Linked DNA regions of Drosophila melanogaster. Changing the gene in region 1 together with any one later gene gives a genetic interaction. Each region holds a gene or a part of one and is shown in the gene's direction. Other genes may lie near its edges.

The links.
Region 2: of in (region 1) and Rab23, changing one enhances a phenotype caused by changing the other (phenotypic enhancement), as found in Drosophila melanogaster (one study listed by BioGRID).

What each region holds. Positions count from the first base shown.
Region 1 is NT_037436.4:20,365,445-20,370,779, forward strand, and holds in (inturned), read left to right. Parts: upstream 1-1,753; 5' UTR 1,754-1,871; coding exon 1,872-4,481; 3' UTR 4,482-4,815; downstream 4,816-5,335. Other genes in the region: Toll-9, read right to left, coding at 180-474; CG13247 (uncharacterized protein), read left to right, coding at 5,068-5,305. UniProt on the Drosophila melanogaster protein: Plays a role in the definition of cell polarity via the planar cell polarity (PCP) cascade. Acts downstream of fuz and accumulates asymmetrically in wing cells to regulate planar polarity in the wing. Probably acts by regulating ciliogenesis.
Region 2 is NT_033777.3:5,679,550-5,687,098, reverse strand, and holds Rab23 (Rab23), read left to right. Parts: upstream 1-1,664; 5' UTR 1,665-1,701; intron 1,702-4,111; 5' UTR 4,112-4,357; coding exon 4,358-4,477; intron 4,478-5,181; coding exon 5,182-5,868; 3' UTR 5,869-7,045; downstream 7,046-7,549.

The sequences.
Region 1 (5,335 bases):
ATAATAATGTTACCGATTCTGGTGGGATTAGGCTAACATCAAAGACCTTCTATAAGCAGTCGATCCGCGTTGCCGGAAGCGTGAAAGTATATGTATATAGTTTCGAGAGCTGTTAACAATGCCCAATCAAACTGAGACTTGGGCAGGGATTTTTATTGGACTTTATTGGATAGGTTTACCGTATTTCTTTGTGCTGTCCCTGAGGGTTCCGTTGGGAAACTGCCACCATATCACCTCGTCCTTGATCAGATCCAGCAGACAACTGTTCCCATCATCCGATTCGTACTTCAACATGAGGGATTTGAGGTCCGTTCTCTCCTTGCTGACCTCTTCGGCCTCTTCGCTGGATGTTGTGGCTGAATCTGGTTCTATTATCAAGCCATCCTGGATCGAAAACTCGGTGTATGCTTCCCTTACGTTTCCAAGGAACAGGCATACTAATACGATCACATCCCATATATATTTTGGACACATATTCACTGAATTGCGCACCTATAGTGCTTGTAATGGGGGATTATAAATAAGATTTGACAGCTGTTTGATTTCACAATCACACAGATAATCGCGTTCTATACAATTTTTAGCCACTCATTCAGTTTCACTGGGTATTCCGAAATCTAAGCCACATTTTGTGATAGTTAACCGCGGCCGACATTTCCCGCAAATCACTTTATTTGCGGCTGGGCGAAGCACACGCCTTGGATTCGCGCAATGGACTGGCTGGAGGACTCAGCTTGCTCCGATGGTCAGCAGAAATAATAGGTAGCTGCGGTACACATGTGCGGCTAATTCTGCCATGATACGGCTTATCAATTTTGGCAATATCTTCCCTTGAATGGCCCGGGACTATCAGCGTATCGCTTTTTCGGTGGCACTGGGCGTCCCGCTTCACGCCCACGCCATGTTCCTTATCGGATAATTATCTGGACGTCGGAGTACGGCTATTAGGCCCGTACTTCAATGGGATCGGTGCTCCGGATCAACCGATATAGCCACGGCTCGCTTTTGGCCAGCACATAGTGAGTTCAGTGAGACACAATTTTCTATACTACTCGATTGTTTGCAGATAGAAAAGTTTTGATTTACGGCGTCCAGTCCGGAGACCGATATGAAAAAAATCACTTGGAAAATCTTAGATTATCAGACCATCGGCGATACGAAAAGGTGGCCACTAAAACACCCGGGTCCACAAATGCCCAATTAATTATATCAATTCCCTTCATATCATGCATACACAGTTTATTGGCCGTAAAATAATTTATTGGGAGATAGGACTTCAGCGGTAGTCTCCTATGACAAATGATCATCGGATACCCATTGAGGAAGCAACATTTTACTAATCTTCCGCTGATTAACACAATCCTTATGATAGCACACCAATTTTGCTTTAAGTTCCACCAAATCTTCAATGCGACTTTGTGCAGAGTCAGCATATCGCAGACGGAGCTCTATTTTTATAAGGATTTTCCATGATTATTATTTATAACTTAATATCACGCTGAAATCAACTGGTTAGCAGTCCAATCGTTAAATGCGAACACTTATAAAAAGAAAAGAAATTGGTTATTGTATTATGGTAACTATACTTGTCTTAACCCACGGTGGGTTTTGAGTTTCCCCAGCTTGAAAGAGAACCAGATCACAAAGGGAGTGGATCGTTTCCCGCTGGAATTTGAGTGGAGTGGTATTGAGCTGGTCGGAGCCAGAGCTCAATTAGAAACTGGTTTTGAGTGCTGAGATCGGATCTCGGCTTTCAGTCGACATTCAGAGCTGAGCTGAGGCGGTATCAACCGGCGGCAGATAGTTGAGTGTGTACCTGGAATAGTAGGCCACTAATAACTATCCGCCCAGTTAACTATCCCCGGTAAACTATGCGCAAATCGCCGGCCAGCCTGCCGTCGGAGGCCTTCTCCAGTTCGAACTCCTCGCTGAGCAACTCGTACAGCGATGGCAGCGACCTGGCCAACTGGGAGGAGTACGTGTCCACAGACGGCAGTCTCTTCTACATGGAGTATGTGCGATGTGAGAAGACTGGCGTCTCGGCAGAGCGGCGGGTGGAGTTCATGCGTCGATCGCTGCGCCTGGGAAAGAAGTCGTCGCGTCGCCAGCCGCACAGCAATAATCAGAATCAGAGTCAGAACCAAAACCAGTCCCACGGCCCGAGCAGGTTGGATAGCCAGACGGAGCCGCAAGAGTTCCGCTTCTCACAGTTCAAGACGGCTGCCCCCGATCCCAAGAAACTGGATCTGGTGATCACAGCCGCTGATCGCTTCCGTTTCGGACGACGATCCACGGCGGTGGAGTCCATACTGGGCTTCCGGGTCCTGCCCTTTCCGGACCAACCAGAATGCCTGATGGTCGATGGGTTCGTTCACGATGTGAGTGCGCTGCAGCACGGCATCAAGCGGGGAGATTGGTTTAGATCCCTGAATGGCATAGAGGTGTACGCCAGCAATGTGGATGAGTTGCTCAAGCAGTTCGTGGAGCCCACTCAGGTGTGCCTAGGCTTCCAGTCGTGCGGTGCGGCCAGTGCAGTTTCGCCCACCGATCCGGGGTATAATCGAAATGTCCGCGAGGAGCAGGTGTGCAAGGTGGAGAACTTTCCCATGTTCACGGAGAAGTTTGAGCAGATGTTGATAACGGAGGGGAACTTCGGTATTCCCGGTAGTTCCGTGGACATAAGAATGCCCTTTGCTATGCTGCTACTCCCACCGGAGTGCTATCAGCATGAACAGCAACAGGATTCCCTCTACTACTTTCCGGAAATCCCCGACAACTTCCTATTCAAGGCCCGTGGGAGTTTCCTCACCCTGCACGCCGTACTCAGTGAACTGCACACCCAGCCGCTGAGTTCAAGGCTGCTGGTGGATCAGGTGCAATACCACGTCAACTACCGCCAACTGAATGGGTTCCTAGTCCTCTTCGCCTACGCCGGAGGACTCTGCTGTGCGGCGGAGTGCAGCCTGCGATCGGATGAGCTAATCGGATACATACGCTTCTCTCTGCCGGGCTTGGTCCTGGAGAGCTTTAATCAGGAGAGAGAGCCGGGGAATAGTTCGAGACTGAAGCTGTTCCTTCGACACTTTTGCGAAATCCAGAGAACCCGGCTCGTAGCCAGATGCCATGGTCATATTCGTTTCGAGGAGCTCCTGGGCCAATCCCGCAGCCTGCCACTGCCAAAGGAAGCGCAGCTGCGCATCTTTGATGCTCTGAGTGAAATGGAGGCCATGGACTATCGCAACTGGAACGACGAGCCACTCACCACCCATCGCGAGTTCTTCATCTACGGCAGTGCGCTGTACTACGATGGCTTCCTGGTGGCCAGCCTGCTGCCACCGGAAGTGAGGGTGAGTGTAGAAGGATTCCTGCGCTGCCGCGGAATCTTCGAGTTGCTCGGAGCTGCTCCGGGAATCAAAGTTCGCGAGATGTACGTGTGGGAGGAGATAGTGTTGCCCAGTGCCACAGGGCGATATTTCCTTACCATCTGCACCAAGAACCACTTGAGTCTGGCCGTGATCTTGAAGATCTTCGATGCTCCAGACATGGCGCCGGATGCGGTGGTGGGTCCATCGCTCTTTTACATCGAGGAGATTCAAGAGACGCTGGACCACCTAGTACAGTGCGGCATTGAATCCCTGGCCATGTTCTGGTCCGTTTCCAATAAGAGACCCGAGGTGCTGGACGCCACTGCCAGCGAGAGTAGAGATCAGGAGAAGGAGCCGAACAACCGACTGGAGTCCTTCCTCAAGCAGAAGCTAACCGTGCTGAGTCCTTCGGTGGAGGAGGAAGCCCAACTGTGCTCGTCCCTGGGTGGGTCTTCCATACATAGTCTGACTCCCAGTGAGGACGAGTCCTGTCGCAGGCGATTGACCCCCATCCATGGTACTGCCGAGGACTCAGACAGCGGTTCCGACTGGGAGAACTTCGCCGTACAGCATCCACTTCACTATGGACTGAATCTCGGGGCCGAGAGCCACAGTCAGAGCCAAATGACAGAGTCCATGTGGAAGGAGATCAACAACGTGGTGCCGGTCAAGATATCCGCTGGCTGGAAGAATTCCGTTCTGCACTACGTCTACATTGACATAGCCAATGGGTCCTTGTTTGCGCCATTTACCGACAGCTCCGAGAACTCCAACTACCTCTCCGAGATTCGTCAGGCGTGTCACATAATCCACGCCGTGCTGCAGAAATCCAAGCACTATCGCAGGCATCTATCGGAATCCTCGAGAGCACAGACGAACTCGAACGGGCACAGTAGCCACACAGTGTCGCTGGTCAAGGAGCACGGCATGATCCTGGAGGTCAGCACGCAACCCAAGTCGGACGGGCAATCCCAATCCTCGACGAGCAGTCGCTTCGTGGTGGTTGGTCGTCTCTTTCAGTCGCCAGCCAAGGAAGTGTACGTGTGTCACCGGTCCGATGTTCCCCAGAACATAGTCGAAATGGCCTTCCGGTTGTCCTTCTTCTCAATGGGATGACATCTTGGAAGGATACTACCAACTTAGATACTGGCTATGCGTAGAATTCTTGCTATAATATAAACACAAATATTTAAAATGTGGTTTTAACTAAACAAATTACTTTTATATAGGCATTCAAACAATTTTTTAAAATTATATTTAAGAATGCATAATTAATCATTTTCAGCAATTCTATTACGAAAGCATTTGATTTAGGGGAAGTGCAATTTTGTATTTTCAAAATTCGAAAAGCGCAAGCTTGCCAAAACTCTAAGAAATTGAAAAATATGTACATTTCCTCTGAAACGCAGCGAATAAATATGTATGTATGAAGGTATTTCAAGAGGAACACAAACATCGTGCGAATGTGTTTCATTCATTCATAGTTCGTACTAGAGAAGCCATCAAAAGTGTACACTATTTTTAGAGTTTGGTGGGAGGGTCCCATTCTAAAAGTAGTTCCACGCACCAGAAGTCAAAAGACACGCCGACCAATAAATCCACGTGAACGAGTGGCTCAAGGTGGTGCTCCCCAAATTGCCAATTTCCCAAGATTCGTCGACAGTTGTGTTTGGGTGTTTCAACAGAAGAGGATTCTTGGTGGATGGATATGATGACAGCTACGTGGATGCTGTGTCTTGTTCTCTGCTCCACGGCGATGGCGACGGAGGAGGAATCGGGCAGTGGACTGTTCAACGTCACCGGGAATCCCTTGGATACAGAAGCTGCTCCAAAACTGCCCAGCGAAGTGCAGAAAGCTGTTTGCACTGTGACTGCGGGGGAGGTGAAGGCATCTGCCGAGGCTGTCACCACAAAAACCCTTAAGGGAGTGTGTGGATCAGGTGGGTGGTCAGTGGTCTCTTGCCCGTTTG
Region 2 (7,549 bases), on another chromosome or scaffold:
GGCCGCTTTGCAAATTGCTCTTTAATCGTTTTTGTATATGTTTTCCTGACGTAGCGTGCTGCAGTCCAGGATCGAATCAATATTTAATGGCGACCGCGTTTCCACATTCCCAGGCGGAAGGGAGTCGTCGCTGATGGAATTCTGACTTCGTGCGCCCAATGAATCACCCCCAAAAAGGGGGGCGGCAAAGCAGCCGGATAGTGCGGAAAATGGGCAAGTGGGAACATGGGAAAGATGGGAAATGGGAGCATGGGCAGCCGGGGCGCTGGAGCGGACAATGACCACCTGACTGCGCTTCCTGTGGGAAGGTCTCGAGGAGCGGAGGAGCAGAGAGCATCCGAGAAATTACTATCAATATTGATTTTTATTCGCAGCCAGTGCCGTCTTTGTTTTTCACATATTCATGGCTCACACATTCACAAAAATGCACAGTGCGCGCTCGCTACAGTTAACTGGCAAGCAAAAGTAGTTATTTAGATTCTCAAAGGAAAGATAGTTTCAATACTGTAGTAATATTAGTAAGAACTTTAAATTCACAGTACCATTAAGGCAGCAATGTAAGGATTCTCAAAACACGTACTTTCCTGTTGGCATGTTCCCTTTATCGAGCGTGCACTGTGATTTTTCTTTGCCTTAGAAAGAATGGGAAGATGGGGGCACGGAGGATGGGCTTGAGAGGCAGGAGGAGGAGCAGGAGGCGGAGAAAGAGGACGAGCCACCACCAGCAGACAGACTGCGAAAAAAGAGACGGCAGTCACCCCAATGTCGGAATTTACTTTTGCACTAACTTGGCACTTTTAACTTTCTACTTTCTAAGGTTTCCAATACCTTTTCGCCGCCCCTCGCCACACACACTCACACACCCGCCGTTACGCGACACACACACACACACGGATGGTGGCGTGCAACAATAAATACTGATTTTGGCGATTGGTGCGCCCGAAAACACGTTGAAATGCCACCAAATTCCGCTGAGCACTGAGCACTGAAAGTCGAGTTCCTGCCGCTTCTCCAATTCGCGATGCCTAGCATTTCTCTACGTCTCGTCCTTCGTCCTGTCGGCCGATAAATCGCGATTGCCGAGCATGCGCGTGCTGCCAGCCAAGTGGGTTGTCAGCAAAGGCGATGAAATTATAGCCGCAATTGGCCCTTACAAGACTGGTGCGCAAATCTTGCGGCAACACATTTCAATTTGCGCTTTTTCGAGTCCGCCGTTGAAAGTCAAACAAATGCGCGTCTTGTCGTTTGGAACAGCTGATTGCCAGGTGCTTCTTCTTCTGCGAGTGCCAGCCACTGGGAAGCAGTGTTGCAAAGGGACGGTAGAGGTAAATAACAGGCGCTACAAATTTAAAATTTAAATGCAAAGTGTTCTCACGTACATGTTTATTCAAAGCACTCAATAATAGTATGTACTTACTTTAATAACTAAATATTATATGCACATTGGACAATGAATTATTACTTATTTATTTATTTTGTAACCAATCTTTAAGTCAAATGGGAGGATGTATATATATGTTTCATTCTCCGCTCGTAAATTATTATTGGAGACGTGCAGATAAAATAAAAGCAAACCCGTTCACATCGAAGCTCGCCTGGTGTGACCATCCACGCTGGTCAAACTACTTTGCGCACGCCATGGTCGCACTGCTCGCAGCAAGCCAGGCTTGGCATTCAAATTTCGATCGCGACGAGCAACAGGTGCGATTTTTGGCATTCCGGTTCGCAGTGCAGCGCATTTCTCCCACTTGGCGCCCTAAAAAATCGGCCGGGGGCAAAAACCATAAACCATGGTGTATATCGTGTGTGCAAGTTGACTTTCACTGCGGGTCAATTCAGAGATCGGGATCCCAGGCGACGTTCGTCTTTAATTAAGGCGCTTCGCACGCGTTGTCGTCGTTGTTTTAGCTCCAATTTAGCTGCTTTAGCCGTTTTATCTGCTTGGTAGTTTTGGCCAAGTAGAAGAGGGGCTCCGCTGCGAACGTGTTTACGATTTTCTGTGCGATCCCAAGCTGCGATTCGAATGCGAGCTTCGCGTTTTCGCACTCGAAACTTCTTTTCGTCTATTTCTCACCCAGAAAACACAATCGCAGTAGACTTTTGAGTTGATTTTAGTGAGAAGAGGCAGTAAAAGAGCCATGAAAAATATGGCAAGAGATAAAAAAACAGACAAAAACAGAAGAAGCAGAGGGCGACACTGTGCGGAGTACCGTTAATGCGCGAGTAACTATTTAATCATGATTTAAATAATGAGGAATTCGCGCTCGTAATTGATTTAAGTAGCGCTCGGCATTTGCATAATTTTCCCCATACGAACACACACACTTGCAAGCCTGGAAAATCCGTTTTTCCTCTGCAGCAGCAGCGGCAGCACAACAAGTGCACATGTGTAGGGGTGTGCAGCCGTGCACGGCATGCATGCATGTGGCCGAGTGCAGGTGTATTGGTGCTGTTGTGAACCTAAATGGACAAGTTAGAATCCACATTCCACAACAATGGCCAAGAAAACGGCCGCCGATCTATCAGTTCCTTGGGCAAATCCAAAGATAATTGCAGCGCGGCGCTCCATTCGCAATTTACTCCACAGCCTGTGCAGAAAACAAATGGTTGCTCACAGGCTCAAGATTAGAACAATCTGAGGATCGGTGCTCTCTTTTGTGGAACAAATCTTTAAGTGTACACATGGCTATTGAACTAAATCTATAACCGGTGGCCTTAATTATCATGACAATGAACTACAAAAAAGTCAACGAAAATAGCATGAACCTTTTAGAAGAAGCTGTAGGAAAAAAGTCGCGGCATAATTAGAACGAGCGAAAGGTTGCACAGTGGGTTAAAGGTGGTGGTTTGGGTTAAGAAAGAATCGGTGGAGAAAATGGAAAACACAAATCCTGTGTTACCTGTCCGTCTAGTGCGGAATGCCGACTGTGTGGAAAGAGCTCAGAAAAGACTGCTGGGAATTAATTAATTGTTGTATTTGTAACCTTCGAAGGCAGATCACTATATTTAGGCCAATAAAATCTTGAGAATTTCACGCAAATTCATTCATATCAGCCACATTTTACACAAAAAAGGTTCGTTTATTATTGAAAAACTGAGAGAAAATTGGGAAACGCTGTAGGCTATACATATATCTAATGCTTCTTTCGAAGCTTAGATGAATCCAACCCGAATTGATGATTGGTTTGTTATTGTTTTTTCGAGCACCAAGCTTCCGATCTATTTTGAGAACCTTGAAACCAAGCTAATTTGCTTACGAAACGAATATATCTCCTTTAGAACACAATGTAACCAAGTGGGCCCCATCCGTTTGGTCAGATATTGTATCTACCCTCCATATATATTCCGAACCCACTTAGCCGCACAGCCGTCCGCCCACGAAGCCGCAGTAAGCAACTGTAAACGGGGGAAAGGCCAGAAGAAAGAGCACAATTTTCAAAGAATTCATAAGCACGCGCTAATGCGAATACTAATGTCATGCGGGCTCCATCTCCATCTCTCTGCTGACCAGTATCCACTGGCCCCTGTCGTCCCACCTAACCACCAGACCACCGCCCAACTCCAAAATCCCACCCCCCCCCCGCCCGACCACCGCCTGTTACCTGTGCGTAAGGTGTGTGGAAGCACCTGTTGTTGAACAACATAACCGTGCGTGCCCGGCCGTTCGTGTTGCGTCTTATTAGAAGCCGCATTCGGTGGCCCCTGGGCCAGTCGGTAGAAACAGAGAAAAACAAGAAAGAAAAACAGGGGAAACGAAAAACAGACTTGGCCAAAAGAAGCGAGAAACACAGCGCTGAAAACCGGTTGACGTGGAAATGAAAGAAAACCTTTTGCATTTACAGTCAAGCTTCGGGAAGGGAAATTAATTTGAGTCGAAATATTGGTACAACTTCTCGCGCCTTTTCAATTTAAAGCAAAGATATCTCCAGAAAACAAAGGTTTATAAAAATAGATGGATAGTTGTTCCAATATATAATCAAATAATAAAACCCCCAAATTTGCTTTTTCACTTCATATTTCTTTAGTTCAAGCTAACGAAGTTTGACTGTAGCACTTGCCGTATGTTAAAACTGATGTCGCTGAATAGTTGGATTTTTCTCTTTTTCCACAGATCGAATTTGGTGAAATCAATGCGTAGAAAGTGAAACGAGATTCAGACAAAGTTGGGGGAAAAGTGAAAAGCTGCGGAAAACTTGGCTAACCAAACAAACACATTTGAACACACTTGCGTTGGGCGGATTGAGATTTCGTGCTCCTCCAACCGATTTGCCTGGCCAGGAGCTGCAGTTGGAGCTGGAGCTGGAGCCAGAGCCACAATCAAACACCTGGGCGAGCGGCGGCCCACCTGCCGGCTTAGATGCGTCTAATCCAAACGGCAACCGGCGGTGCTGCTGCGTCCGTTCTGCAGACCCACTCCCAGGCGCAGTACAACTACACCAGCATGCGTGAAGATGATATCGAGCTGGCCATTAAAGTGGTAAGTTGCCCAGCCGGCTGCGTGAATCTCTGTCATTCGGATGATGAATGGTTGAAATGAGTGCACTGCAAGAAAAAAAGATGGCTACTATTAAACCAAACCCACATATACAATTGATTATATATCGTATCAAGAAGAGTTCTGCATATCCCAAAATGGAATGACTTCTTTCCAATATTAGTATATTAATCAACTTCCATATGTTAAAGCATCAGATCATCTAATAGTTTTTCTATATATTTTTATAAACTTCTAACTAGTTCTAAATAATAACTTTCTGTGTAATTTTCCCTCGCCAAGTGTTGTGAATGGCACCTGTAAGATAAAATCCGATGGAAATGTCTGTTGCTAATGGCGAAACTGCACGAATTAAGATTCTAGTTCAATTAGGGTTCTCCTCTCCCTAAATAAAGTTGTTTCTAATGGTTTTTCTGGAATTGTTTCAAATTGATTTATATGATTATTTCCGAATGTGTCTTTCTGCAGACAAGCCAAATTTGATTGACATTTACGCGCTTAATTAACTTAAATGGCTAACCGTTTTAAATGTCCAGTAGAAAGCACATAAATATTGTGAACAGTTAATTTTCTCTCCTTCTGGTGAATAACAAAACGCTTTTTTGCTTATGATTGAAATAGCAAAACATAACGTAAGACTTTTGTTTTGAAATATGAACTAATAACAACTCTGGTATTTTCCATAGGTCATTGTTGGAAATGGCGGCGTTGGCAAGTCATCAATGATCCAGCGCTATTGCAAAGGCATTTTCACGAAGGACTACAAGAAAACGATTGGAGTGGACTTCCTAGAGCGACAGATCGAGATCGACGGCGAGGATGTGCGCATCATGCTGTGGGACACCGCCGGCCAGGAGGAGTTCGACTGCATCACAAAGGCGTACTACCGCGGCGCCCAGGCTTCCGTCCTGGTCTTTTCGACGACGGATCGAGCATCCTTCGACGCGATCAAGGATTGGAAGCGCAAGGTGGAGAACGAGTGCAACGAGATACCCACAGTGATTGTGCAGAACAAGATCGATCTTATCGAACAGGCGGTGGTTACGGCCGACGAGGTGGAGACGCTGGCCAAGCTCCTCAACTGCCGGCTCATCCGCACCTCCGTCAAGGAGGACATTAACGTGGCGTCCGTGTTTCGCTACCTGGCCACCAAGTGCCATCAGCTAATGACCCAGAGCTACGACCAGGTGGCCGGAAACCAGCAAAACTCCAGCCATCCGCCTTACAGCAGCACGCCCACGATCAGCGCCTTCAGCCCGACCTTCACAAAGTCCAGCAGCGGCACCATCGTCCTCCGTCCGGCGAAGAAGGGCCATGGCTCCAGCGTGGCCCGAAAGCGAAAGATAGTGCTCAAGAAATGCGGAATATTGTGAGGAGTTGTCGGATTAGCTGGTTAGATGGCGGCAGGGGCGACTCGGCTGGCAATTAATATCTGGAGCATATTTAACGCCTAATTATTTTGGAGCCTAATGATGTTGTGGCCGGGTGGCCAGCCAACCGTTGGATGCAACCACAGCCATTCACTAGTCGTGCACAGACTCCGCGTGATGTGGTTCAGACATGCTTACGGAACAGAAAAAATAATCGGAGGCAGCAAATTGGATCTTCTGGATCCCCACGAAGATGAGATACCCTTGCGGTCGAACTGAGGAACTAAATATTTGATTTACACTGCACAACGGAAAGTTTTCACCATCTTTCGGGCCGGTTCCGATATCTCACAAAAATGTATTCATCTTTGGTTTTTAAAACTACGATTTTTAATATACAGATTTAAATTCTATGCCGGATATTGTTCTTGAACACGAAAATTATAAGAAACACCCAAATCATTTAAGACACCATAGAATAAGCTAACTTTTCGGTGTATTATTTTAACTGCAACTATTTAATACTCCTGTTTATATTTACCATATATAGAACGTATATACAGACCCAATACTCACTTGGCCACACGAGCCATTAGACCAAAACCATAGCACCCGATCTGCACGGGTAGATGATGAGTTCTCGAAACCATAGACAATATGCACGAGCACTGGCAGTTTCTCAAAAATTTCCACAATTAGTTATAGATACGAAATCAAATTTGTATGTATGTATTATGCCCGCTTTTCTATAACGGAGACTGAAGCAACTTTGCTTTCATATCGAATATGTTTGTATATAGGGGTTAGCTCCCTAACCAAGCAGAATTAAAAGGCTATTTATCACGCTACCAAGCCCAGATCACAGGTCCATGTGAAATCCCTTTGCCAATTCGCGTTGGCCAAATGTGCAATTAAACATTCAGCTTTTATAATTATTAACTAATTGCAAGTCATGCCAGAGCGCAATTTGACGCGATTCATGTAGACCAGTGCTGCTCGCATTCTATGCAAAAAACTGCAGATAGAGCACAGTGAAACTCGTGAAGCATGTAACATGTAAGCCGAATAGGAGTTTAGAAATAACTAATAAATAATAAATAACCCTAAGCCCATTAATATTCTATTTATGCATGTAATGATCCATTAATATGTTTACTTAATAAATTATTTTATGTAAATTAAGTCGATTGTTGTGCAATTGGGATTCACTTTTGGAAAGTCAGCGGGCAGGAATTTGATGAAGTGGGTTCGAAATTAAAGTAGCATAATGGGTTAAGATGTCATGGGTTAAAACAGCAGTCGTAGTTTTGAAATGTTTACCATTTTTTATTTGATTTTTGATTTTACACTTTTTTTGTAAGCTTGACAATTTTGCGATCCGCTTCTGTTACACCATCGTTTAAACGTTTCCACATTTAAATCGTTTAAACTATTTTAAATATATAATATTTCTTTCTTTATATTTACAATGCGCGTTGAAAAACTATCGCTTCGCAACGCATAAATCATTAAATGTGTATATATCTATTTTGTTGTAATTTTCAAGTGTTTCCTTGTATTAATAAAGGCATAAATAACTATTCGTCAATTTCCATTCTTATTTATTTACACAAAGTCGAAAAATCAAAATATCTTAGATATAGGCAAGGAGAGAGAGTAGAAAGTTCGATTTCTGGAGGGTCAG